3 linked regions of the Mytilus edulis genome follow. Each later gene encodes a partner of the first gene's protein in a complex. Links are inferred from orthologs where the notes say so. Each region holds a gene or a part of one and is shown in the gene's direction. Other genes may lie near its edges. The genes, in order: geranylgeranyl transferase type-2 subunit beta-like, synaptobrevin homolog YKT6-like and protein prenyltransferase alpha subunit repeat-containing protein 1-like.

Evidence for each region.
Region 2: the proteins of geranylgeranyl transferase type-2 subunit beta-like (region 1) and synaptobrevin homolog YKT6-like are in contact, whole or in part, in a crystal structure (PDB 6J7F), measured with the Homo sapiens proteins. The link is inferred for Mytilus edulis from reciprocal best matches to the Homo sapiens genes RABGGTB and YKT6. Residues at the interface, in NP_004573.2 of Homo sapiens: Thr3, Pro4, Gln5, Lys6, Asp7, Ile9, Lys11, Tyr37, Leu45, Trp52, Leu236, Asp238, Cys240, Arg281, Gly283, Asp284, Met285, Asp287, Phe289, His290; in NP_006546.1 of Homo sapiens: Lys60, Gln62, Asp63, Leu65, Asn83, Glu84, Tyr85, Pro86, Ser87, Leu153, Asn155, Thr156, Glu158, Arg189, Lys190, Cys194, Cys195.
Region 3: the proteins of geranylgeranyl transferase type-2 subunit beta-like (region 1) and protein prenyltransferase alpha subunit repeat-containing protein 1-like are in contact, whole or in part, in a crystal structure (PDB 6O60), measured with the Homo sapiens proteins. The link is inferred for Mytilus edulis from reciprocal best matches to the Homo sapiens genes RABGGTB and PTAR1. Residues at the interface, in NP_004573.2 of Homo sapiens: Lys6, Asp36, Tyr37, Cys40, Met41, Glu43, Tyr44, Ile89, Gly90, His91, Asp92, Asp136, Trp138, Glu140, Phe177, Asp178, Gly182, Cys183, Arg184, Pro185, Gly186, Ser187, Glu188, Ser189, His190, Gln193, Trp217, Glu221, Arg222, Pro225; in NP_001093136.1 of Homo sapiens: Val61, Lys62, Leu65, Pro66, His69, Leu73, Arg76, Leu97, Asn98, Asp100, Phe101, Thr102, Thr103, Asn106, Lys109, Glu110, Leu113, Ile141, Arg144, Trp145, Pro192, Ser193, Tyr195, Ser199, Ile202, Trp203, Gln206, Val231, Ser232, His234.

Annotation. Positions count from the first base shown.
Region 1 is NC_092345.1:46,312,128-46,319,855, forward strand, and holds the start of geranylgeranyl transferase type-2 subunit beta-like, read left to right. Parts: upstream 1-4,569; 5' UTR 4,570-4,693; coding exon 4,694-4,696; intron 4,697-7,728. Other genes in the region: (3R)-3-hydroxyacyl-CoA dehydrogenase-like, read right to left, coding at 4,488-4,518. UniProt on the Homo sapiens protein: Catalyzes the transfer of a geranylgeranyl moiety from geranylgeranyl diphosphate to both cysteines of Rab proteins with the C-terminal sequence -XXCC, -XCXC and -CCXX, such as RAB1A, RAB3A, RAB5A and RAB7A.
Region 2 is NC_092347.1:81,091,470-81,099,165, forward strand, and holds the start of synaptobrevin homolog YKT6-like, read left to right. Parts: upstream 1-4,584; 5' UTR 4,585-4,877; intron 4,878-7,696. UniProt on the Homo sapiens protein: Vesicular soluble NSF attachment protein receptor (v-SNARE) mediating vesicle docking and fusion to a specific acceptor cellular compartment. Functions in endoplasmic reticulum to Golgi transport; as part of a SNARE complex composed of GOSR1, GOSR2 and STX5.
Region 3 is NC_092347.1:89,620,743-89,629,010, forward strand, and holds the start of protein prenyltransferase alpha subunit repeat-containing protein 1-like, read left to right. Parts: upstream 1-5,091; 5' UTR 5,092-5,112; coding exon 5,113-5,183; exon of another isoform or gene 5,184-5,196; intron 5,197-7,824; coding exon 7,825-7,994; intron 7,995-8,268. Other genes in the region: programmed cell death protein 7-like, read right to left, coding at 1,610-1,696, 2,154-2,285, 3,613-4,860.

The DNA of each region.
Region 1 (7,728 bases):
GCAGATAGATCTTGACTTGATGAACAATTTTTCCCATTCAGAATTGCTTTAAAAGCTTTGGTTTCAGAGTTATAAGCCAAAATCTACATTTTAGCCCTATGTTCTATTATGAGCCATGGCGGCCGTCTTGGTTGGTTGGCCGGGTCACCGGACACATTTTTTAAACTAGATACACCAATGATGATTGTGGCCATGTTTGGTTAAATATGGCCCAGTAGTTTCAGAGTGGAAGATTTTGGTAAAAGACTACAAAAATTTATGAAAAATTGGTAAAAAATGACTATAAAAGGCAATAACTCCTTAAGGGGTCAATTGACCATTTTGGTCATGTTTGACTCATTTGTAGGTCTTACTTTGTTGAACATTTTTGCTGTTTACAGTTTATCTCTATCTACATGATCTAAAATAAAATTCATGATAATAACCAAAAACCAGGGCCGTAACTAGCTTCTTTTAATAGTGAGGCAAAACATATTCGCCGAGCGTAGCGAGGAGAAAAAATTTTGTCGAGGGGTCTTGAGGCCGCTCAAGGCCCCCAGCAGCTCTGAGAAAAATAACGCAATATCACGCATTCGAAGCGTTCCACGGACTCTTTCTTACATTGAAACGCAAATAATCTTTAGCTATTTTTTCGACAACATTCTAGTCTCAGAGCAAAAACATAGATTTATTGTAATTTAAGACTTTTAGGTTTTATGGGCAACATTAAAAGACCGATATGTAGGATAAAGTAAAAATCGTATTTCTCATAATCATTAATACCGGGTTGTCTGTCTGCTCTTGTCTTGTATTGACTTTGGTGATTTTTTTATGACTAGATTTAAATATAGTGACAGTGCAGTATTATACTTTAAGTACTAGTACTGCTTAAGTCGACACTAGGGACCATCTCGACCTTCTTTTACGGTATTAATGATTATTGAAGTCCAAGACCCTCCAGCAACTATCAAGATGAAGAACAGGAATAAAAGCTTTGACCATTGATCATTTGTATTTTTTCTATGCATTGACTTTGTGTGCGATTAGGTCCTGTGCACGTTTACTTCATATTACTTTATTTTCTGTCTAAACAGGACTTAATGCAAGTTTAACCATTCAATATACATGATATAAAAGGTTATACAAAATGTATGGCAATACATTGGTTTTTAGCTCACCTGGCCCGAAGGGCCAAGTGAGCTTTTCCCATCACTTGGCGTCCGTCGTCCGTCGTTGTCCGTCTTCGTTTTTACAAAAATCTTCTCCTCTGAAACTACTGGGCCAAATTAAACCAAACTTGGCCACAATCATCATTGGGGTATCTAGTTTCAAAAATGTGTGGCGTGACCCGGCCAACCAACCAAGATGGCCGCCATGGCTAAAAATAGAACATAGGGGTAAAATGCAGTTTTTGGCTTATAACTCAAAAACCAAAGCATTTAGAGCAAATCTGACTGGGTTAAATTGTTTATCAGGTCAAGATCTATCTGCCCTCAAATTTTCAGATGAATCCGACAACCTGTTATTGGGTTGCTGCCCCTGAACTGGTAATTTTAGGGAATTTTTGCTGTTTTTGGTTATTATCTTGAATATTATTATAGATAGAGATAAACTGTAAACAGCAATAATGTTCAGCAAAGTAAGATTTACAAATAAGTCAGCATGACCAAAATGGTCAGTTGACCCCTGAAGGAGTTATTGCCCTTTATAGTCAATTTTTAACCATTTTTTCGTAAATCTTAATAATCTTTTACAAAAATCTTCTCTGAAACTACTGGGCCAAATTAAACTTAACTTGGCCACAATCATCATTGGGGTAACTTGTTTAAAAAATGTGGTTATTATCTTGAATATTATTATAGATAGAGATAAACTGTATACAGCAATAACGTTCAGCAAAATAAGATCTACAAATAAGTTTACATGACCAAAATAGTCAATTGACCCCTTAAGGAGTTATTGCCCTATATAGTTAATTTTTAACATTTTTCATAAATTTTTGTAAATTTTTAGAAAATATTTTCCACTGTAATTACTGGGCCAAGTTCATTTTAGATAGAGATAATTGTAGCAACAAGAATGTTCAGTAAAGTAAGATCTACAAACACATCACTATCACCAAAACATAATTATGTCATGAATTTATCCTTGTCCATTGTTTAATATGCACAAGACCAAGGTGAGCGACACAGGCTCTTTAGAGCCTCTAGTTTTTTAAATGATTTGATACCGGGAAATTGGTGGTCTTTCTTTAATTTAAACCATGTCAGCTATGTAGTTTTATCCACAGGAGCTTGGGTATATGATACAGATATTTTTTTTTATTTTTTTTTGTTTTTGATTAAAATAGTAAATTTTCTATATTTATAATACATATATCTATCACTTCTGTGCATGTCTCACCTATATATAGCTAGTTTCGAGTGATTTAAACGACTCAGAGAAAATACTTAATTTTACAATCCATACTCAGAAATATTTCTGGTATTTTCTCTGACTCAAAACAAGGTGAGACATGTACAAAAGTGATAGATTTGTATAATTAATATAGAAAACTGAATATCTTAATCAACGGAAAAAAAAAGACAAAAACATATTTGTATCCTTTGATATCAAGTTCAATTATCCATGCAGAAACGACAATTTTTTCTGTGTCCAGTATAGCATCATAGATAGATATAGGAAGATGTGGTGTTAGTGCCAATGAGACAACTCTCCATCCAAATAACAATTTATAAAAGTAACCATTATAAGTCAATGTACGGCCTTCAACACGCAGCCTTGGTTCACACCGAACAAAAAGCTATAAAGGGCCCCAAAATTACTAGTGTAAAACCATTCAAACGAGAAAACCAACCGTCTAATCTATATAAAAAACGAGAGAATATTCTTAAAATATTTTCCCGCACAATATCTGGACATTGGTGGACATGCAACATTGCACACGTTTCCAAATGAAAAAAAACACTCAGACTATAGTCATAAAGTAGGACAATAAAAGAACAAAAGACAAACCGAGACACAGAAGTACAAACAATAGACCATCAACTCCGAAAACCAAAAGTAAAATGGAAACATAAATCACAAAAAACAAGAATGTGTCCAAAGTACACGGATGCCCCACTCGCACTATCATTTTTCATGTTCAATGGACTGTGAAATTGGGTAAAAAATCTAATTTGGCATTAAAATTATAAAGATCATATCATATGGAACATGTGTACTAAGTTTCAAGTTGATTGGACTTCAGCTTCATCAAAAACTACCTTGACCAAAAACTTTAACCTGAAACTCCCACTTTCATTTTCTATGTTCAGTGGACCGTGAAATTGGGGTCAAAAGTCTAATTTGGCTTTAAAATTAGAAATATCATATCATAAGCAACAAGTGTACTAAGTTTCAAGTTGATTGGACTTCAGCTTCATCAAAAACTACCTTGACCAAAAACTTTAACCTGAAACTCCCACTTTCATTTTCTATGTTCAGTGGACCGTGAAATTGGGGTCAAAAGTCTAATTTGGCTTTAAAATTAGAAATATCATATCATAAGCAACAAGTGTACTAAGTTTCAAGTTGATTGGACTTCAGCTTCATCAAAAACTACCTTGACCAAAAACTTTATCCTGAACAGACGGATGGACGGACGCACAGACCAGAAAACATAATGCCCCTCTACTATCGTAGGTGGGGCATAAAAATGCAGGGGCGACATCAGTCCAGTGAAGAGAACTTGCTTCTTGCAAGACACTTTCTGTGAAAACAATTTGATATAAAGACAATTTTTTTAATTTTTTTTTTTTAAATTTCCAGCATGAGACATTTGCCTCATTTGCCTCAATGTAGTTACGGCCCTGAAAACGGCAAAATTTCCTTAAAATTACCAATTCAGGGGCCGCAACCCAACAACAATTTTACCCCATGTTAGATTTGCTTTAAATGCTTTGGTTTCAGAGATACAAGCCAAAATCTTCATTTTACACCTACGTTCTATTTTTCAGCCATGCAAACATTGGTTGGTTGCATGGCGGGGTCATCAGACACATTTTTTAAACTAAAAAACCCAATGATGATTGTGGCCAAGTTTGGTTAAATTTGGCCCAGTAGTTTCAGAGGAGAAGATTTTGTAAAAGTCTACAGATGACAGACGTGAGACGACGGACGCCAAGTGATAAGAAAAGCTCACTTGGCCCTTTGGTATTTAGTCAGATAAGCAGCAAACTGGGCATGTGCATATTAAATTAAGTACATCAATTGGTGCACAACTGTTGCAGGTTACTGCCATCATAAGTAGAAAATGCCATTCTGCCCTTTGTATATTTAAATCTAGTCTAAACAAGGATTTGTATAGTATACAAATCATTGGTCTAAACAAAAATATACCCCTCTACAGACCTCTGTGGACTGGTATTAAAATAAACAAGAGAAGAGTTTAATGTCATAACATAACGTTTTTATAGTACTATGTGAAATAAAAAGACTTTATGATGAGTTATAACACTAAAATATACCAGTTACAAGTGCAAGTTTTCCAGCAAGCATTTTCAGGGGACAGAGGTCTTATCGTCCTATATTTCTAATTTTAGAACCGGAAACCGAAGATGGGGAAACCCCATCCGGGTCGTTGTGATGGACGCCCCCATGACACACATCAACATGAAATATTTATCACATCTATTTTAGGTTTCACGTTATATGAGTTTTCTGACAGACAGAAATGGTAACTAGACTTAAAATCCATGTTGTCTCTCTTATTAAGTTGAAAACAATATTTCGCTTCAGCTCACGAATCGAACATTTTAGCCTTTTTATATACAAAACTTGGAACAGTATTTGTCTAGAAATGTGTCCTAAAATTAACATATCAGAATTTGTAAACTGAAATTGTTCTGGTATCTGATGTTATGAATGTACCTGTTTTGACAGTTTGACAACAGAACAGAGCCTCAATCCTCAATCTTAAAGCCTGTTCGCACGAATTCGGAATTGTCTCAATGTGCGGTTTTCCTCTCTGGTGGATTTCCTCAACATATTTTCTTCTGTGTGTTTTAAATTGGTATGCGCTGGTTAAGATTGGGATTGTGGAACAGCAGTATTAAATCTGCCTGTTCTGTCAATGTAATGTGCCACTGTTAGTAGTTTGGCTTTTGTCTCTTCTGTGCTCTCGCCGTCCAGTCTCGTTAGCATAGTAGCCAAATTCAAGTTTCTGACCCCGACCTCTTTGGATATTTGGTGTAACATATCTTCTCGTTCGTTTTCATAGCAGGGACATTCCAGAAGAAAATGTTGAGGCGTTTCAGGTGCTCTACAATTGCAGTACTCTATGGCGTTGGTTTGGCCTACTCGCGGTTCTTGTGGTCGCAGTCTTGTAATTGACTGCTCCATAGGCTTACATGCAAAACAGCTGAACTTTGAAAATTAAAATGCTACATAGAAATTTTATTTCATGTTCATATCATTTATGTACTAATGTGAAATTGTGATTTAATCGGAAAAAAAAGTGGGTCTTGCCACGAAGATTAAAAAGTTACGTAACCCTGAAGTCAAAACATTTTTTTTCTACTTTATGTTTGCTGTTTTTACTGGGCCGCACTACTTCCAGTAAACATGATATCCTTCCACTTTTCTGGATTGATATCCCCTATAAGATGCAAGATTTTTTTATACAACCGCAAAATTTGAAAAATTTTTCGTCGTATATTGCTATCACGTTGGCGTCGGCGTCGGCGTCGTCGTCGTCGTCCGGCGTCCGAATACTTTTAGTTTTCGCACTCTAACTTTAGTAAAAGTGAATGGAAATCTATGAAATTTTAACACAAGGTTTATGACCACAAAAGGAAGGTTGGTATTGATTTTGGGAGTTTTGGTCCCAACATTTTAGGAATTAGGGGCCAAAAAGGGCCCAAATAAGCATTTTCTTGGTTTTCGCACTATAACTTTAGTTTAAGTGAATAGAAATCTATGAAATTTTGACACAAGGTTTATGACCACAAAAGGAAGGTTGGGATTGATTTTGGGGGTTTTGGTTCCAACAGTTTAGGAATTAAGGGCCAAAAAAGGGCCCAAATAAGCATTATTCTTGGTTTTTGCACCATAACTTTAGTATAAGTAAATAGAAATCTATGAAATTTAAACACAAGGTTTATGACCATAAAAGGAAGGTTGGGTTTGATTTTGGGAGTTTTGGTCCTAACAGTTTAGGAATAAGGGGCCCAAAGGGTCCAAAATTGAACTTTGTGTGATTTCATCAAAAATTGAATAATTGGGGTTCTTTGATATGCCGAATCTAACTATGTATGTAGATTCTTAATTTTTGGTCCCGTTTTCAAATTGGTCTACATTAAGGTCCAAAGGGTCCAAAATTAAACTTAGTTTGATTTTAACAAAAATTGAATCCTTGGGGTTCTTTGATATGCTGAATTTAAAAATGTACTTAGATTTTTAATTATTGGCCTAGTTTTCAAGTTGGTCCAAATGGGGGTCCAAAATTAAACTTTGTTTGATTTCTTCAAAAATTGAATAAATGGGTTCTTTGATATGCCAAATCTAACTGTGTATGTAGATTCTTAATTTTTGGTCCAGTTTTCAAATTGGTCTACATTAAGGTCCAAAGGGTCCAAATTAAACTAAGTTTGATTTTAACAAAAATTAAATTCTTGGGCTTATTTGATATGCTTTATCTAAATATGTACTTTGATTTTTGATTATGGGCCCAGTTTTCAAGTTGGTCCAAATCAGGATTCCATATCAAGTATTGTGCAATAGCAAGAAATTTTCAATTGCACAGTATTGCACAATAGCAAGAAATATCTAATTGCACAATATTGTGCAATAGCAATTAATTTTCAATTGGAGTTATCTTTCTTTGTATAGAATAGTAGTTGATAATATATGTTGGAAATTTGCCAGACATGAGTATGATGTCATTTTCTATTTTTATTTGCCAATAACTTTATGTAAATAACTTCATTGGAAATTTGCCAATATAAAATGTTGCTGATGAAGCTTTTTTTCCTTATCTTATCTAAAATGTTTTAGATAATGTATGTTGGAAATTTGCCAGACATGACTATGATGTCATTTTCTATTTTTATTTGCCAATAACTTTATGTAAATAACTTCATTGGAAATTTGCCAATATAAAATGTTGCTGATGAAGTTTTTTTTATTGTTTTATACAATAAACAATGTATATTCACTTTTACTACCAACCAATCTTTACCATTCAGTGATAACAAGCACTTTATTTTACATTTTAATATTTTATGATGTATTTAAAAGAGTAGTTATTGTTGCAAACTCCATTAGAAATTTGAATTGATATCAGTTTTGGAAAAAGGGAAACAGGGATGTGAAAAAAGGGGGGGGGGGTTAAATTTTTCTCATTTCAGATTTCATAAATAAAAAGAAAATTTCTTCAAACATTTTTTTGAGAGGATTAATATTCAACAGCATAGTGAATTGCTCAAAGGCAAAAAAAAACTTTTAAGTTCATTAGACCACATTCATTCTGTGTCAGAAACCTATGCTGTGTCAACTATTTAATTTTAGATTTAAATAAGAAGAAAATTGATTTGTAAAATCTTGACATTTGTTTTGTGTAAAAAAACCCATGTAATGTCAAAAATTTGATCACAATCCAAATTCAGAGCTGTATCACGCTTGAATGTTTTGTCCATACTTGCCCCAACTGTTCAGGGTTCGACCTCTGCGGTCGTATAAAGCTGCGCCCTGCGGAGCACCTGGTTTAAA
Region 2 (7,696 bases), on another chromosome or scaffold:
CGATCTTTTATAGAAAATAACAAGTATATATACAAGTGTATTCATGTTTGTCATAGTTAAAATTAAGGTTGGACTGACGATCAAAATATGTAATTCTGAAGAAGTTGATATATCTAACCTACAGACATTGTGTGTCGACAGATTTATAAGGTAGCAGGAATATATGTTCCGTTGTTTTTTTGTTCTCACCTTTTTTCAGGCTGGAGTTATTTTTGTTAAGTATGTTACGACCTTCCGAATAAAGTTTTTTTCCAATCTAAGGAATGTCATCGAAGAAAATTTAAAAGCGAAAAAGGTAACTAAAAAGAATTTGACTTTTGTAGATATATAACATTAAAAGGCAATAAACTTGATAAATGTACATGGTTCTGCATTAAATTCATCTAGACCAATTCCGTAAAAAGAGATTTTTTTTTGTAATTTGATCATTACAAGATAATTTTGAATTAATGTCTTGTCAAATTCAGTTGTAACACAAACCATGAAAAAATAATAAATAAATCCGGTTATGATGACTTAGATCTTTTTTTTTAAATTAGCAAAAAAAATTAGTATTAAATTTAGTTTGAAGAGCAAAGTTTATATTTTAGAAATGCATTATCATGAAAACAAATTTTCTTGTAACAATTTTAATTCAGATTGTTAAACAACGTTGACTTCGTATTTGATTTCTGATTCGCCGTTGGTACCTCAGGCACAGGCACATGTCTCAAAAAAAAAATAATTCCTATATACCTTAATATAAACTTTAAGGTATTTAGGGGGGAAAATTTGAGACAAGTGTCTGTGACCTCAGACTCTACTGGTAGATTCAGATTGTTACATTTTGAAATTATTGGGGAATGGAGCCAAGAAGATCAGTATTGGCATGATAATACAAATACTGTTAACTTTACATTGATAGAACTTAAGAAAATTACTTGAAACTCAGAAAGACAATTCTCTAATGCATAACTCTGATTCCTTAAAACCGGGTTTGACTTTACTTTGGGTAGTTTTCTGTAATTTGACTACTTTAGGTAACAGTTTTGTTATAGGTTTTTAATTTACAAATATCTTCGCCTTGATTACCCTTAACAAGTAATCATTTGTCGAAAAGAGCATTGACATCGCAAATGTATAAAGTTTTTATAAGACCCACGTTGACATTGAAACAAAATTGCACGTACTACACTGGCAAAGAAAATATGTCCATTTCCTTGAAAACTACAGACGTACAGCTTATTTTACCATACTATGCTTCACTCACAGGGTAAAAATCTGAAAAGTTTCCCTTTCACAATACTGAATGTTTCATCAGGAGATCAGTTTGAGCGAATTGAATGATACAGTGTAAGAGATTAGAGTAAGCACAGTAAATACAGGTACATGTCATCAAAAGATGAAGAAGAATAAAATGAGCCACTAAACCGGCACAATGAACTGTATGTATAGTCAAGATTTAAATTAACATTAAAAAATAATTAAATAGTGAGATTGATTTATTGATAAAAATCATAATCAGGTTTCAAAATTGGTGTTTAAATTGTCGTTAAGTAGTAATATAACTGCGTGATATATGGTAAAATATATGGAAATATCTCTTAAAATAAGTACCTTTAAACAATTTTCAAAACTTTGGCCTGTTAATGATAAGTTAGTTTTATAAAAAATGAATAAATCGGTAATTGAAATGAAATTAAACCCGTTATTTGTTATGACTATTTTTATGTTTGTATCATATATATACGTGAAGACAGATCTACATGCCGTGCAGATCGAGACATGCACAGAGTTATGAATCTTACATTTTTTTTAATGTAATTTGATATAAATACCATAATAGTAATAAAACTATACTATGGAATCTGGTCTTTAAAAGTTTTCTTCGTGTCATGGATGTTCTACTATACAAATCTTTGTCGCATGTACACCAGGAACATCAGGGATAGAACGAGACTCTAGACCATTATCCCAATACTCATCTGAATGATTTTCTGAACACCAAATCACACAAATATATGAATAACAGTTGAAATTCTTCATTATCTAGATGCAAAGTGTTTTTCTTTGAACTGATACTGAAAAATTACGAAACATTGAACATTCTTATTCTAGAAAAGTGGTTTATAAAGTTACCCTTAATTTCAGAAGGCCACTAACGCTTATAAATGCTAGCTTGAACTACTCATTTTTTAATGCTGGCACAAACCTTAATCGTATATAAAGTTAACTGATGTTCTACAGCGATTTGAATATAATAATTTAAATATTATATTTGACCGACAAACATGAAATGTGTTAGTTAGTTATATATATATATATATATAGATGAGATGATCATGTATATATTTGACATTTCACATTGCTCTCATCACGTTTGTTTGTATTGCACAATTGCAAGTATAGACTTTATTATAGTTTCGAGTTGTTTTGTTGTTTCGTCTGACAGTCGAAGTCGAGAGTTTCAATTAACTCCACAAATCACAAAACAAAGCTTACGACAATTTATGATACTGTAAAGCACTCCATGTACGTTTTTGACATATGAAACTATTTTATATCCTTTTCTTGTACAAGACCAGCCATACCATTGGCTGCATGCATTTCAAAATTAAATCTTGCCAAAAATGTTTCTATGTTTCAAGCTTGTCCACTCTTAACGAATTCTTTGTTTGATGTTGCCTATCGGGAGATAGGGATTTTTTTCATGTTACATTAAACATGTTACTTGTGTTAAATCTGACAAGGACAAAAAATGATCATAATGTTGAGCTCTTCTAATTGTTCATGGACGTCAAAAATTGCTCTTAAAAAGCAATTTTTACCAATTCAGTTCATCATTTAGCCTTTCATCTTGAAAACTATTACAGACAGAGAGAAACTTTAAGTTGCAAAAAGAATAGCAATCAAGATCTAAAGATAAGAGCGTATTTTCGAAGTCGTCGAAATCGTCAGTCGACTTCCTATAAGAGTTATTGCCTATTGGTTACAGATTTTTCCAATCATTTTTTTCATGATTGCCTTATAAAACTGTAAAAGATAGATCGATTTTTTTTTTAAATAGTGACTTACAAGGAAAGATCTACATTTTAGACAAGTGGAGGAAATAATCTGACTCATTATTGGAGTTATTGCTTTAAATGACAATTTTTACCATTCAGTTTGTTTTAAGCGTTTTGCATTTATGATACAAATTACAGCCGATAAATAGAAACGTTGAACAACAAAAACTACAAGCATGGTGAGATCCACAAACAAGTAAAATTTTATAAATATTGTTAGTAGGGCTCTTCATATTTCACGGTGATTGCACTTTAAAAAATAAGTATTTGTGTACCCCTTTTTATGTTTTGAGCAAAAATTAAAGAAGATAGAGAGAAATCAAACACAAAATGATCAGCAAGACATGATCAACAAAAACAGTTTTTTGTCAGGAATTCTATTCTTATCCACTTGCAATGTTGGAAATTCCATTGGTTAATAGAATCATTGGATTAGGTTAGCGACACATACAACTATGTTCTTTAGGGACCCTATTTTATATCCAAATGGACGAACAGTTATTTTTTATCTCCAAAAACATTGACAGGCCACCAGGGGCGGATCCAGCCATTTTAGAAAGGGGTCAAACTACATATTCCCATTCAAATGCCGAGAATCATAGTGATCGGCCAAAAAAAATGAGGGCCCAACCCCCGCCCCAATATTTTAATTATAATACTTTATATAGTCAAAGTTAATCATCTTTATCTGTGTACATTATTAATATTACTACACATGTAAAAAAAAAATTATGATTATGAAGAATTTTATATCATGAAAAATAAGTAGATGTGGTAAGATTTGCCAGTGAGACAACTATCAAAGTTCAAATGATGTGAATGCAAGCAATTTTTGGCAACCGTGTGGGCTTCAACAATGAGTATAACCCATACAGTATAGTATGCTCAGTCTTCATTAAAACATGTAGTGGTATAGAAAATATTCCTAGATCCTATGTCAAATAAAGTTTAGTGTTAAGTAAGGGTCTTGACGGGGTTTACATAATAGAGAACAATGGACCAATGCTACAGAAAACTAAAATGGCCACACACATATAGAATACAGTAGAGACAAATGTATGCTTTGTTATGGGCGAAATAAATGAAGAATAGAGAATATTGGGATGTTAAAATATTAAGAATTATAGACAAGTCAACAATTGGTAGTTAAAAAGGAATCATAGTATAATGGACAAAAACATATCAATAATATAGAACGATTTCGAATGACCTAATAAAATAATACAGAATTGAAATTCCTCCATCCAGACCCTCTTGAGTTGCTTCATACATATGGGGGGGGGGGGCACATAAGTATTAGTCCCAGATAGGCTATATATGATAAGACACTGAGTTATATTTTTTTTAAGCCAACAATATATTCAAAAGATAAGTATTTCATTTGGTATTTCGTTTGATAACATACATAAATAGTCTTAGATAATGATTGAATTTAACGAATATTAATTAATACCAATAAAAATCATTTATGAGCATTTTCCGTATTTGTAATACGGATTCACGCGTCCGGTAAGTTTTGTGTTTTATAATTTTATCAAGAGAAGGTAACTCTGTTTAACGTCATTTCCTGTGTTGTCAAAATTGCCAAATATCAGTGCCCGTGATTCATGTGACATTTATAGTAATTTGTCAAAACAAAATGACCCTGTTACTACTTTGATTTGTTTTTGTCACATCTTAAGAGCATTTTTGAAGAGGAGGTTTCGATTTATCTTTACGGAAACATAATTTTTATCACAAAATATTGGAAAATATTTTGTGCAACATATTTTGACCTGAAAAACCTGAGAAATTCAAATTTTCATTTGAAATAATTGCAACAGTGTAGATAAAGTAAGTGTTAGTTTTCTATATTAGTTGAAAAAAAAGTACAGTTGTTCTAAACTAATGAAGGTTACAGGTGATTAAATTCTTTACAAATTAAAGTCTCCAGTATGACTAGCTGCGGAACCGTAGCTCTTAGGTCCTTATGCTATTTTTTGACTATTTGCGGACCATAGAGCTATGGTCAGCAAATAGTGAAAAAATAGCATAAGGACATAAGAGCTACGGTTCCGCAGCTACAGTATGACTTGGTATCAGGTGGGTCTCATTGGGGTCTAAGCGTGACGCGGGATTGGCGATTTTTTGTAAGCGTGACACGTGAAAGTCAAATTATTGTGGCGTGAAAACGGGAAATGAGGTCTTGCAGGACCCGGGAAATGACAAAAAAATGAGAATTGCTTACGTACATAGTGTAAGCGGGATATGGGAATCTGACAAAACAGTAAGCGGGATCCGGGATCGGAACCCCCCAATGAGACCACTTATCAGGTCTGGTCGCTCCTAAGACACATTCACCCCCTTCAGGTTTGCAAGTGACCCCACACGTTCATCTCTTTTAAAATCATATTTGTACAAATAAAAAATGTATATGAAGACAAGATAACCTTTTATGAGATAACTATACATGTACATGTATGGTGCAGTCCGGTGTATCCTCACACGTAAGATTTATGACTTCCAGGGTTTTCGCTGGCGGTCGCCATTTTCGCAATTTGCGAAAAAATAATGATTGTGGCGATTAAAATTCGTCATTGGCGAAAGAATTTGGCAAAAGAAATATATAAAACGATTTATTTTCAACCATCTTGTTTGTTTACTTTTTTTCGGATTTCTCTGTCTTTACCTGGTCAGACAATACTCGGAATTCACCTAGAACTCGTTAAGATTTTGACAGATAATCAATAATCAGCTGATTGCATTTTATGCCTATCGACATCAAAGGACTAATTAATAAAGGTTTTGATTGTAATGAGAAAATGATATGGTTGAATGGCGTTCGTTACATGTCACTTTAAAAAGGATCTATTAACGTGACTTTGCGACGCACGTGTTTGAAGCAAAATTTTGACGACTCTTCTCCTTCTTTTAATGATAGTCCAGAAAAGAAAACTTGCCTATGAAGGATAATGTTCAAAAGCAAGAAAGGTCTCTAATTTAAAACTTTATCATTTAACTTTGATAATCGATAATTGATTGGAGTGGGTACTTTTAAGTCGTTTCAGTGACACACATGTTTCAAGCATAGTTGTACTTACACATGTATTGGCGATGGTATAGAAAAGAAAACTGTCTTTATAAAGAAATGTATTCAAAAGGTTGGGAACAACCCCTCGAATAAAAATAACCCTTCAATGTTATGACTACACCTTACATGAGGGATCAATGTCAAGTGATAAAAAAACTTTTGTTTTGTTGTAAAAAAACACTTCTTAGTACAAAAGGACACATGTTATTATTTTTTTTTAAACTTTCCCAAAGAACTGTGACATTTTCATGTAACCAAGATTATATTCCAGGATTTATATCTTCTTTAATTTCAAAAAAAAGTGGTCCCTTTCTTTTAAAGTTGTTCAAAATATAATCAATTTTCCCTGTACAGTTCTTTTTTTTTTTATAAGGTAAATGTTTAGTATTTTTATTTATTACAATACAGACCGAAAGAATAGTTTTAGAAAGTAATCTTAGAAAGCAATGGGGCAAAGTAATCTTATTGAGGTTTGAGGGAGGGGAATTCAAAAGAAAGATATATTTGTGTCATATGGCGAAAAAAATAATAAAGTGGCGAAAAATATATTGTTTTGGCGAAAGAGGTGGCGAAAAAAATAATTGACCCAGGGGAAACCCTGATGACTTCACTTTATTAGAATGATAAAACCAAAAATCGGATAATATTGTGTGAAACATTTCATTCAATACTGTTAATTTCTTAAACTCTTCTGTACATGTATGTATGGTTTCACCCTTAAGATTGTGTGTGATGTGTATCCAAAATTTTGAAACCCCTTCTTCTTTTGTTACAGAAAACCATCAACGTACTAATGTTTACTTTCCGGCGGTAACTCCCTGTTTTGGGAGTTCTTTAAATGTCTAGTGATTTCATGCATGCCTTTTAAAAAATAGTTTATGTTGAAGAAAAGAAAGATTTTATAATACACACTATAATTATTAATAATTGAATTTAAACCAAACAGACTGCCAAGGATACAGAGCAAAATTTATTTCAATCTAATTTAAATTTGACTTTAATGAAACAAATTTTATCTGTTTATATAATATTTTTAATGGTAATTGTCTAAATTTGGTTAGTCATCGAATTGTAGTTATAAAGTTAATCTTGACTTATCAATTTTAATCTTTTTTGTCCCTTTGGAATACTAAAAAAATGACAAGAATGATTTTGTTACATTGTCCATATGACAAAATCAGGTAATGCACAACATCACCAGACGCACAGGGACTCCACTGTACAGTAACAAAATATTCACTGTGTTAATTTCCCTACAAACATATGTTAACAAAAATTACATGTGTAATACTCTTCTTTAACATTTTTCAAAACAGAATGACCCTGTTACTAATTTGATTTATTGTTTTCACAACTTGCTTTTTTGTAGACAAGATTTTGGTTCTCTTAAAGGAAAACATAATTTTCTTTAAAAATATTGGAATTTATTTTGTGTAACATATTTTGACCTGAAAAATCTGAGAAATTTTCATTTGAAATAATTGGTACTACATTGTAGATAAAGTAAGTGTTAGTTTTTTTAATTTGTTGAAAACAAAAGTACAGTTGTTCTAAACTAATGAACATTACAGGTGATCAAATT
Region 3 (8,268 bases), on another chromosome or scaffold:
AAAAACAAACTACACCAAACTAAGAAAATTGAACTACAAAATTGAATTTTAACTGGCTTGAAATATCTTTTTTCAATACCTCTGATTATTAGTATCTCCATAATCAGAAATGTTTTGTCATTTACAAATTTAAATTTAATTGATGGAATTCTAATAATTTTAATCTAGCGATATATATATATTTAGTGTATTGTAACCCATGGACAGACCTAAACTTAAGTGACATAGTTTTAGTGTTAAGGTATTCAAAATCTTTACTCTGTAATGTAATGTAAAATTGTGATATGTTTGTTGTACAACTTCATATCTGTTCATGATATCACCAGTTTCTAGACTCTTTGAATATAATCATATCTATGTGTTCCTGTACTGTGTCAATTTTTTTCTTTCAAAATTTAGACTTTTAGAATGGTGACATCATGTTATCCAAGAAAAAAAAAGTTCAAAGAAATACTTTAACTAAACTATGAAAAACATCCAAATAAAAACTATGATAAAACAAGGGTCATGGACGTCTGAACTGATATCAATTCAACTGCAAACAAAGTAATTTGCAGTTAAAAGATTTGTTGAATCAGATCATAGAATGAATGAAATGTCAACAGTAATTGAAGCTGAAAGGATATAATACAGTAATGCAAAAGGATATTTGTATAAACAGGCTAATAGTATTCTTTTTGTCCAGCTAGAATGTTCACATACTGAAAATAATACAAAAAATAAAGTTATTTCCAAATTTCATTTAATTTTTTTATATGATGTTGTGTTTATAGTATTCATCTAATTATTTTATATTCCATAATCATTTTACAAACAATACACAAGGCGTTAGAACTTTTTACCATTCATTATCCCAACGTTATCAAATTAACCAATGTTTGGATGAACAAAATTACTGGACCCGACTTCATTTGTTTGTCAACTCTTCTTGTACAAACACCGCTTATTCATACATCTAACTTTAGTTTTTTATGTACAAATGTATAAAGTAATTTTTCTTTAAGCATTTAATGAAAACTATCTTCATACATGTTATATGTGTCAGTACAGTACAGTTAATACAGCTAAAACATTGCCCTTTTCAGGTTTTCTTAAAATGTTTTGAATGAATTTACTTTGCCAACCCTAGACACATGATCTCATCTACTTATTCAAGATAAAAACAAATTAATAACAAATGAATGTGTTTCTACTTATACACGCACTGTACATGTATTATAATTTAAACCTGAAACTAACCTTCTTTTTGATGAACCTTATAACTGATACTTTTGAAATAAATTGAAAATCATAACTTCATAAGGGAACTAAATAAACTGGGATAATTTGATTCCAAAAGGATATGAAGGATCAAAGCTCAAAACCATATCATCTATCAGCTACAAAATTTCTGGCAAAGACAATGATCAAATTATATTACATGAATTGTAATACAAAGGGAGGAGGATTCTTATGGTTGAGGAGTCTTAAATAGAAGGTTTGGGTTAATGGTACATGAATAACTAAAGCCTTTTATTATTTTCATAACCATTGGATATTTCAGGAAAATTCTGAGCTGTTTAAAGTTTTGCACAACTTTGACACAACAAATTAATAGCTTTCAACAAACCCTTTTTTGCATCCTCTTCTTAACTTTCATTCTTAAATCCAGAACATCTACTGTGGACAAATATTTCCTTATGGCATCCATTTCATCCTGTACAAATATAGACATTTCGAAATTATTTTCAAAAATAAAATAAAGATATTATTGGTATTCAAATGAAGAAATTTTAATGAATCATTTCAATCATGTCAATATGTATGTAATGTATGTGATTAGATCCATACACATGTACATTGTAGGTACAAATGTATTGGTACTAAAAACAATTGTTACATCATTCAGCAGTATACATTATATATATGTAAATTTATTTAAATGAATTCCATCTTTTTCAAGTTTCAATTATTTGCACAAAGCATTAAAAAATCAGCAATCAAACAATTATCTATACATTCTATATGCATGATACAGATGTATGTTTAACATACAAATGTACATGTACACATCCCATACAAAAAAAATCCATAACAACTAACAACATGGAACATCTGGATTCCTGTATAGTTTAAATATTTCTCTTCCATGATTCTTTATAGTTCTTTCATACCTTCAATTTATTAGTTGTTCTCATTTCTTCCTCAATCTGATGTTGATCACATGATTTTAAAATCTTGATCTGTTTTTGAAGGGATGCCATCAGAAACATCATTCTTTTTGTTTTTTCTTGGACATCATATAGCTGAAACATATTATGAAAATTGAAAAAGATGTGTATAAATAAAGCAATCTTGCATTAAACCCTACAAAATTTCAACTGAAATATATACTTTTTGCATAAAGAATTAAAAGTTTTTCCAACATGCACATTTAAATGCTTTGCATACAATGTTTGTACATTGTAAAGACAAAATGTTTGAGACTTTACTTTGTAACAACTACTGCTTCCCTTAGTTGGTATCTCAAGGAAAACAGACTTGCTGTAACCCTAGCCTGGTCCCTTACATACATTTGTATAACCAACATGACCAATCAACAAGTGTACACATGTATATCTTAACACCTGTAGATGGTTTAATCATGTCCAGTTTTATTTACATTAACTTAACAATTTTTTAGGGGAAAAGATCCTTAGCTTTGACTTGTTTGATGGTCTCAACCTGTGTGATATATGCAATAGTCCAACAAAAAGGTAAATTAATGTCTGTTAAGAGTTAAAACTTTACTTGCAACTTTGAAACTTACACATATAATACGTTTTGGCCTGACCCATAGAGTCTTGTACTTTGAACAAAATTGAGGTTGCTGTCTAATTGATGTGTACCCTACATTATGTAGCTACAAGTACACGAGACATGAAGTACAATGTCATGAATGAAACATTTATCACATCACAATACAGTTCAATAATTCAATCGATTGAATCTTGTTTGTCTATCATTGGAATGTTGCAATACTTATTTTAGAATTGTACTTCAGCGTATTTTCACTAGATCATTTATGACACTGCTCATCTATATATATTGATATATAGATTGAGTATTGTTAGCCGGTAAACAGACAGAGAGTCACAAGACATGAAGTCACAAATTTGATAGGTCAAAAAGTCACAGGACAAAAAGTCACATATAATTCTTCAACAATTGTTTGAATATACATGTATAAGAGAAAGATCCAGAAATATTTTCTTTTTACTACATACATATGTATATTAATTTTTCAGATAAGGAAATTTGTCACAGGTTTTGATAAATGAAAATTCATCACATTTTAATCATGCAAAGAATATATTTCTTAGCACCATGAAGACATTTGTGTACCAAGCAACTTTGACATTTTGTTTTAATAACAATTATTTGATCATTATTGATATTTATTGAAAACATTTTAATTACAAAATTAAAGTTGCCTTTTATATCATTGTATATAATAGTTCAAGAAAAAACAAAAATATTCGTTTTTAAATTTGTGTTTTCTTGTTCAAAGAAATATACATGTAGTCTCAAAACTGAATTGTGACTTTTTGTCCTGTGATTTTCTGTCCTACATTTTTGCTAGCCAATTCTTACATTAACTGGTGTTTTGACACATTCTTTTTTCTGGACCTTCCAATCATCAGATTGTATTCCTTTTCTATCAAGCCATGATTTTATCCACTCTGTATCTTTTTCTTTCCCTGGCAGTACAGTTGCATGTTCTGTCTGAATTAATTCTTTTTTAAGTTGAAACGGCTGCTGGTGGTGCTGCTGAATTTGCTGATTCATAACTGGCTTGAGTGGAGGAGGATGAGAATTTGGAGGAAACGGATTTGAACCTGCGTAGGGTTTTGGTTGAAAATTAGGTGGTGGAAATGGATTAGGAAATCTGTTCATTGGTGGTGGCATTCCAAGCTGATTATTTCTGAATTGCATATCATTTTGCAAAAATGAATTGGAAGGAGGTGGACAATTTGGGATCATCATTTGTACAGGTTGAACTGATTCAGGAACACTAACATGACTAAGTCCTTGGTAGTCCAATGGTTTTGTAAATTGGTGAATTTGAGGATTTGTATGATCTTGTTGTCTATTGTCAAACGGTTTTTCAGTTTGTGCGAAACTCAAAGAACCCAGCAATTCAGAACTTTGTTGAGGTGATATTATGCTTGACCTTTGCACAAGTGTGGTGCTTTCATCCTGATCAGGAATAACATCAAGACCTGGAATTTGCATATTCTGTGAATTGAAAGTTGATTTTGATTTTTGTATTTCTTCTTGTGCAACTTTTGTAAAAAAGTTTCCACTACCTTTACTGTCAAGAATTTCATTCTTCTGATCATTCATTGACCAGTTAAAAGGTTTTTGATCATTCATCGACATGTTGATAAGTGGAGCCTGGTGATAGCCATCGATTGATGTTTGAGGTGTAATTCTCGAGTCAGAACTGTATTTTGCCATGCCAGTCCTATTGCGATTTGGATCTCTCATAGACATAGAAGTGTTTAGCTCCCAGCTTGAAGGTTGTGATTGGTCTTGTTGGCTGCCTTGTGTTTGCCCTTGGTTGTATATTGGAAATGAAGAAGGCCCTTGTGGTCTACTACTTTGAACATTGCGATTATCAACTCTTTCTTCAAATGAGCGTTGATTTTGCCCGTGTTCATTATTTGGAAAATTGGACGTGATAGTGTTTGTGTTTTGAAACCTTCTTGGTTGGTTATTTCTTGGGGTGTACTGTCCCGGTGTTCGTGGAGGAAAATTGTGTCTCTGGTTTTGGCCTCGTGTGACAAATCGAGGATTTGCAGGCCGAAAGTTCTTTCTGCTGTTATTTCGACTGTACATCTTTCTTATCCGTTTCTAATTAAAAAGTTGTTTTTTTTGGTTGGATTTTCATGTGCGCTGACATCTTTAATCTCGTATATTCGTGACTTTAATTTTATTGTTAATTGCAGCAATAAAAAATTTTATTGTGTAAAAGAGATTCATAATAGACAAAAATATTTATATTTGGCGTTCAAAATACAAAATAATAATAAAAAGAACAGTATATTATCTTTTTGTGCGACATCACGTGATCATAACAAAAAATCCAAAATGTCGTCTGACAGCAGAGGATGTCGCCTACTTTCAGATTTAAACAGCGTATTTCGGAAGGACCCCGAGATGTAATTAAAAACTGTAAATTAAGCCCCATTTCGAACAGTTTGGCATTTCAATAGGCGATGTAATTTCATTGAGAAAGCTTGCATTGAACCAAATTCTTCATAAAAACAGATGTAAACAAAGAAATTATTAAGATATTATGTCTTAACTCTCGGGACATTTCGGCCACATAACTTATGTGGCCGAAATGTCCTGAGAGTTATTAACCATATCGTTAAGGTCGTTTCGGACACGGTCGATTCGGCCACACCTATACATCTATATGGGTAATCTGTAATATGTTAAAATTTAAAGTTGTGTCATCCAAAATGTGCTCTTTTAAGGCAGCAACCATTTGATTTTCTGGGGGGGGCTATGGTTTTTTTATCTGTGCAAACTTTTTTTTTCGCCTGCGGCGAAAAACAATCTATTTTTTTCGCGACAGGTCGAAAACAATTTTTTTCTTTCAATTTTAGCATTACATATAGTGGCAGCTGAGGGTGAAACAAACAATTTTTTTTTCTCAGAATCAAAAACAAATTATTTTTTTCTCCAAAAACTGGAAACAAACTTTTTTTTCCAAAAAAAACCATAGCCCCCCCCCAGAAAATCAAATGGTTGCTGCCTAATTAAAATCATATGCACAGGTGCCAAGGCAGATAAAAACATTTGTGTGCTGATTTACAGATATCTGTGTGCTATGAGGTTGGTCTTGAATGCTTCATAGTCGTCAATGTCCAATAGACTAGACAGCAATAAATGCGGTAGTTCATTCCAATTTGTGATGGTTCTTACGAAGAAGCTATGTTTTCTTTGTTCAGAACTTGATCCTAATCTGACAAATCGCCGTTGATGGAATTGACGCATCATTCTTGCTGGTGGTGTCAAGTATTCTGGAATTGGAATTGCAATAAGTTGGTGGATTACTTTGTGAAAAAGGAGTAAACATGATGTTTTTCGTCTCTCCTATAGTCATGGTAGTTGTGGTAGTTTTAGGTTCTCTAATAAAGATGTTACTATGCCTGGGTCTTGAGAATACTCATGTCTGATGAATCTGGCTGCTCTACTTTGGACCATTTCTAGCTGTTGTATGTGTTTTTGGAGATGTGGGTCCCAGCTGGGAACAGTATATATCTATCAGTTAATATATGTTCCTGGTCCCAGAGACTGCTAGCATATACTTTTTCAAATTGTTCTTTATATTATATACACATTGTACTCTCCTATAAAAAAATATTATGTTAAATGTTTGATTTAGATGTTTGGTTTTATCAATCTAATATTTTGTTGAATTAATAACTAAATTATTATATTAACATGATTAAGGTCACATTTATAATGATAAAAGATAAAATAATATAATTTTTGGGCTGTTCGGCGGTGTGCAGTGAGTTCAGTGGTGAAAAGACCTAAAGATATTGAGAGTTTGTTTTGAGAAAGAATATTTTACAACAAAAAGTCATTTTGTCAGAATGACGTACATCCATCTGCTGTGAAAGGAGAGGATATGTTACACATGATAAAGACATTAAAATAACAATTCCTGCTGACTTTTAAGGCTTGATTATCAATTTAAAAAAACAGAGAATAGAATGTAATGTCTTAATCATAATACTTATAGTAAGAACCTTTTTACTACACAAATCCTGGTTCTAATTAAATATTAAGCACTGGGTAAGATTACACAAAGTATCTGACAATAAGAATTCATTATAGCTATATAGTCACTTCTGAAATTGCTGCATTGTATTTCAGGACAGGGACCCATCATTATAATACGGATATTGCAGACCACTATAGTATTTTTTTTTGGTCATATGTATTTATTGTTACTTTTAAAATTTCACATTTGCAAATTATGTCTTTTTTGATATATACAATTTTTGTAGCATCAGGATACATTGTTCTTTGTAAGGTCTTTGTGTCATTTCCCTGTATTTACATGTGATGTAACGTTGCTTTATGAGTTTCAATTGAGAATAGATTATATCTTTTACTTTTTGGATGTTGCTTTGGATTTTACTTCTATTTTTCAAGAATTTTTTCTAAACATGTACATGTATATATTTGTAACTGCACACAATTTGCATCTTGTTAAAATGACTTTGGAATCATTTTAAATGATCATTAAAACTTTGAAATGATATTAACTTTTCACTGACCTCAAATTGCACGTCACCCTCATTGGAATCCCTACTTAAGAATAGTAGGTTGTTTTAATCGACTTTGCTGTTCAAGATTGCCCAACAACTGTCAAACAATAGCAAACAATAGTTTGCACTTTGTCACTTATCTGCTCATTATCACATCTACAAAATGTATAATAACATACAGACGTGTTGAACTTCAAAGGAAATAGCCAAGGAAGTTGTTTCAGATACATATCCAGGATTTTGAAAAATGGGGGCCCAAACTATATGTGAAAAGTCTATGCATGAACCATATATGTAGCTGAACATGAATATGAAAGGAAGTTATTAACCAAAGCCCCTCACTTTGAATTTCATATATACCTTTCCACTAAGTTATTGAAAATTAACACTAAGTGACTCAGTATCGTGAATGATTTTGTCTGGATAAAACATCATTAGAACACAAAATGTGGAAGCCATGCATGCATATTATATAATATATTATAACATTTACATTTTGAATTATTTACAGTGATGAATATGACTTTCTACCAGTACTGGAACCCAAACACAACCGAAGTCCACTCATTCTACAAGACCATAAACTTGGACTTGAGATGTGGAGTGTCAAAATTCTTCATCATTATGCCTACAATACACTGATGACATGGAGGATGAAAGAAGTTAATGCCAAATTCTTAGGTAAAACTACACGCAATACCATCTCAGTTATTCATTTAGTTTAGTTTAGAAAATCAAGAATAAAAGTCAATGCCAAATGCATGGTTTAGATATCAATTTCTTTATTTTAATGCATCATTAAATATTGGCTGTTAAATATAAAAATTAGAAAGGATATGGGCAATGTTTCAAAGAGACAACAACCTGTCCAAAGAACAGAAAACAACTCAAGGCCACCAATGGGTCTTCAACACAGCAAGAAAATCCTGTACAGGAGGCAGCCTTCAGGTGACCC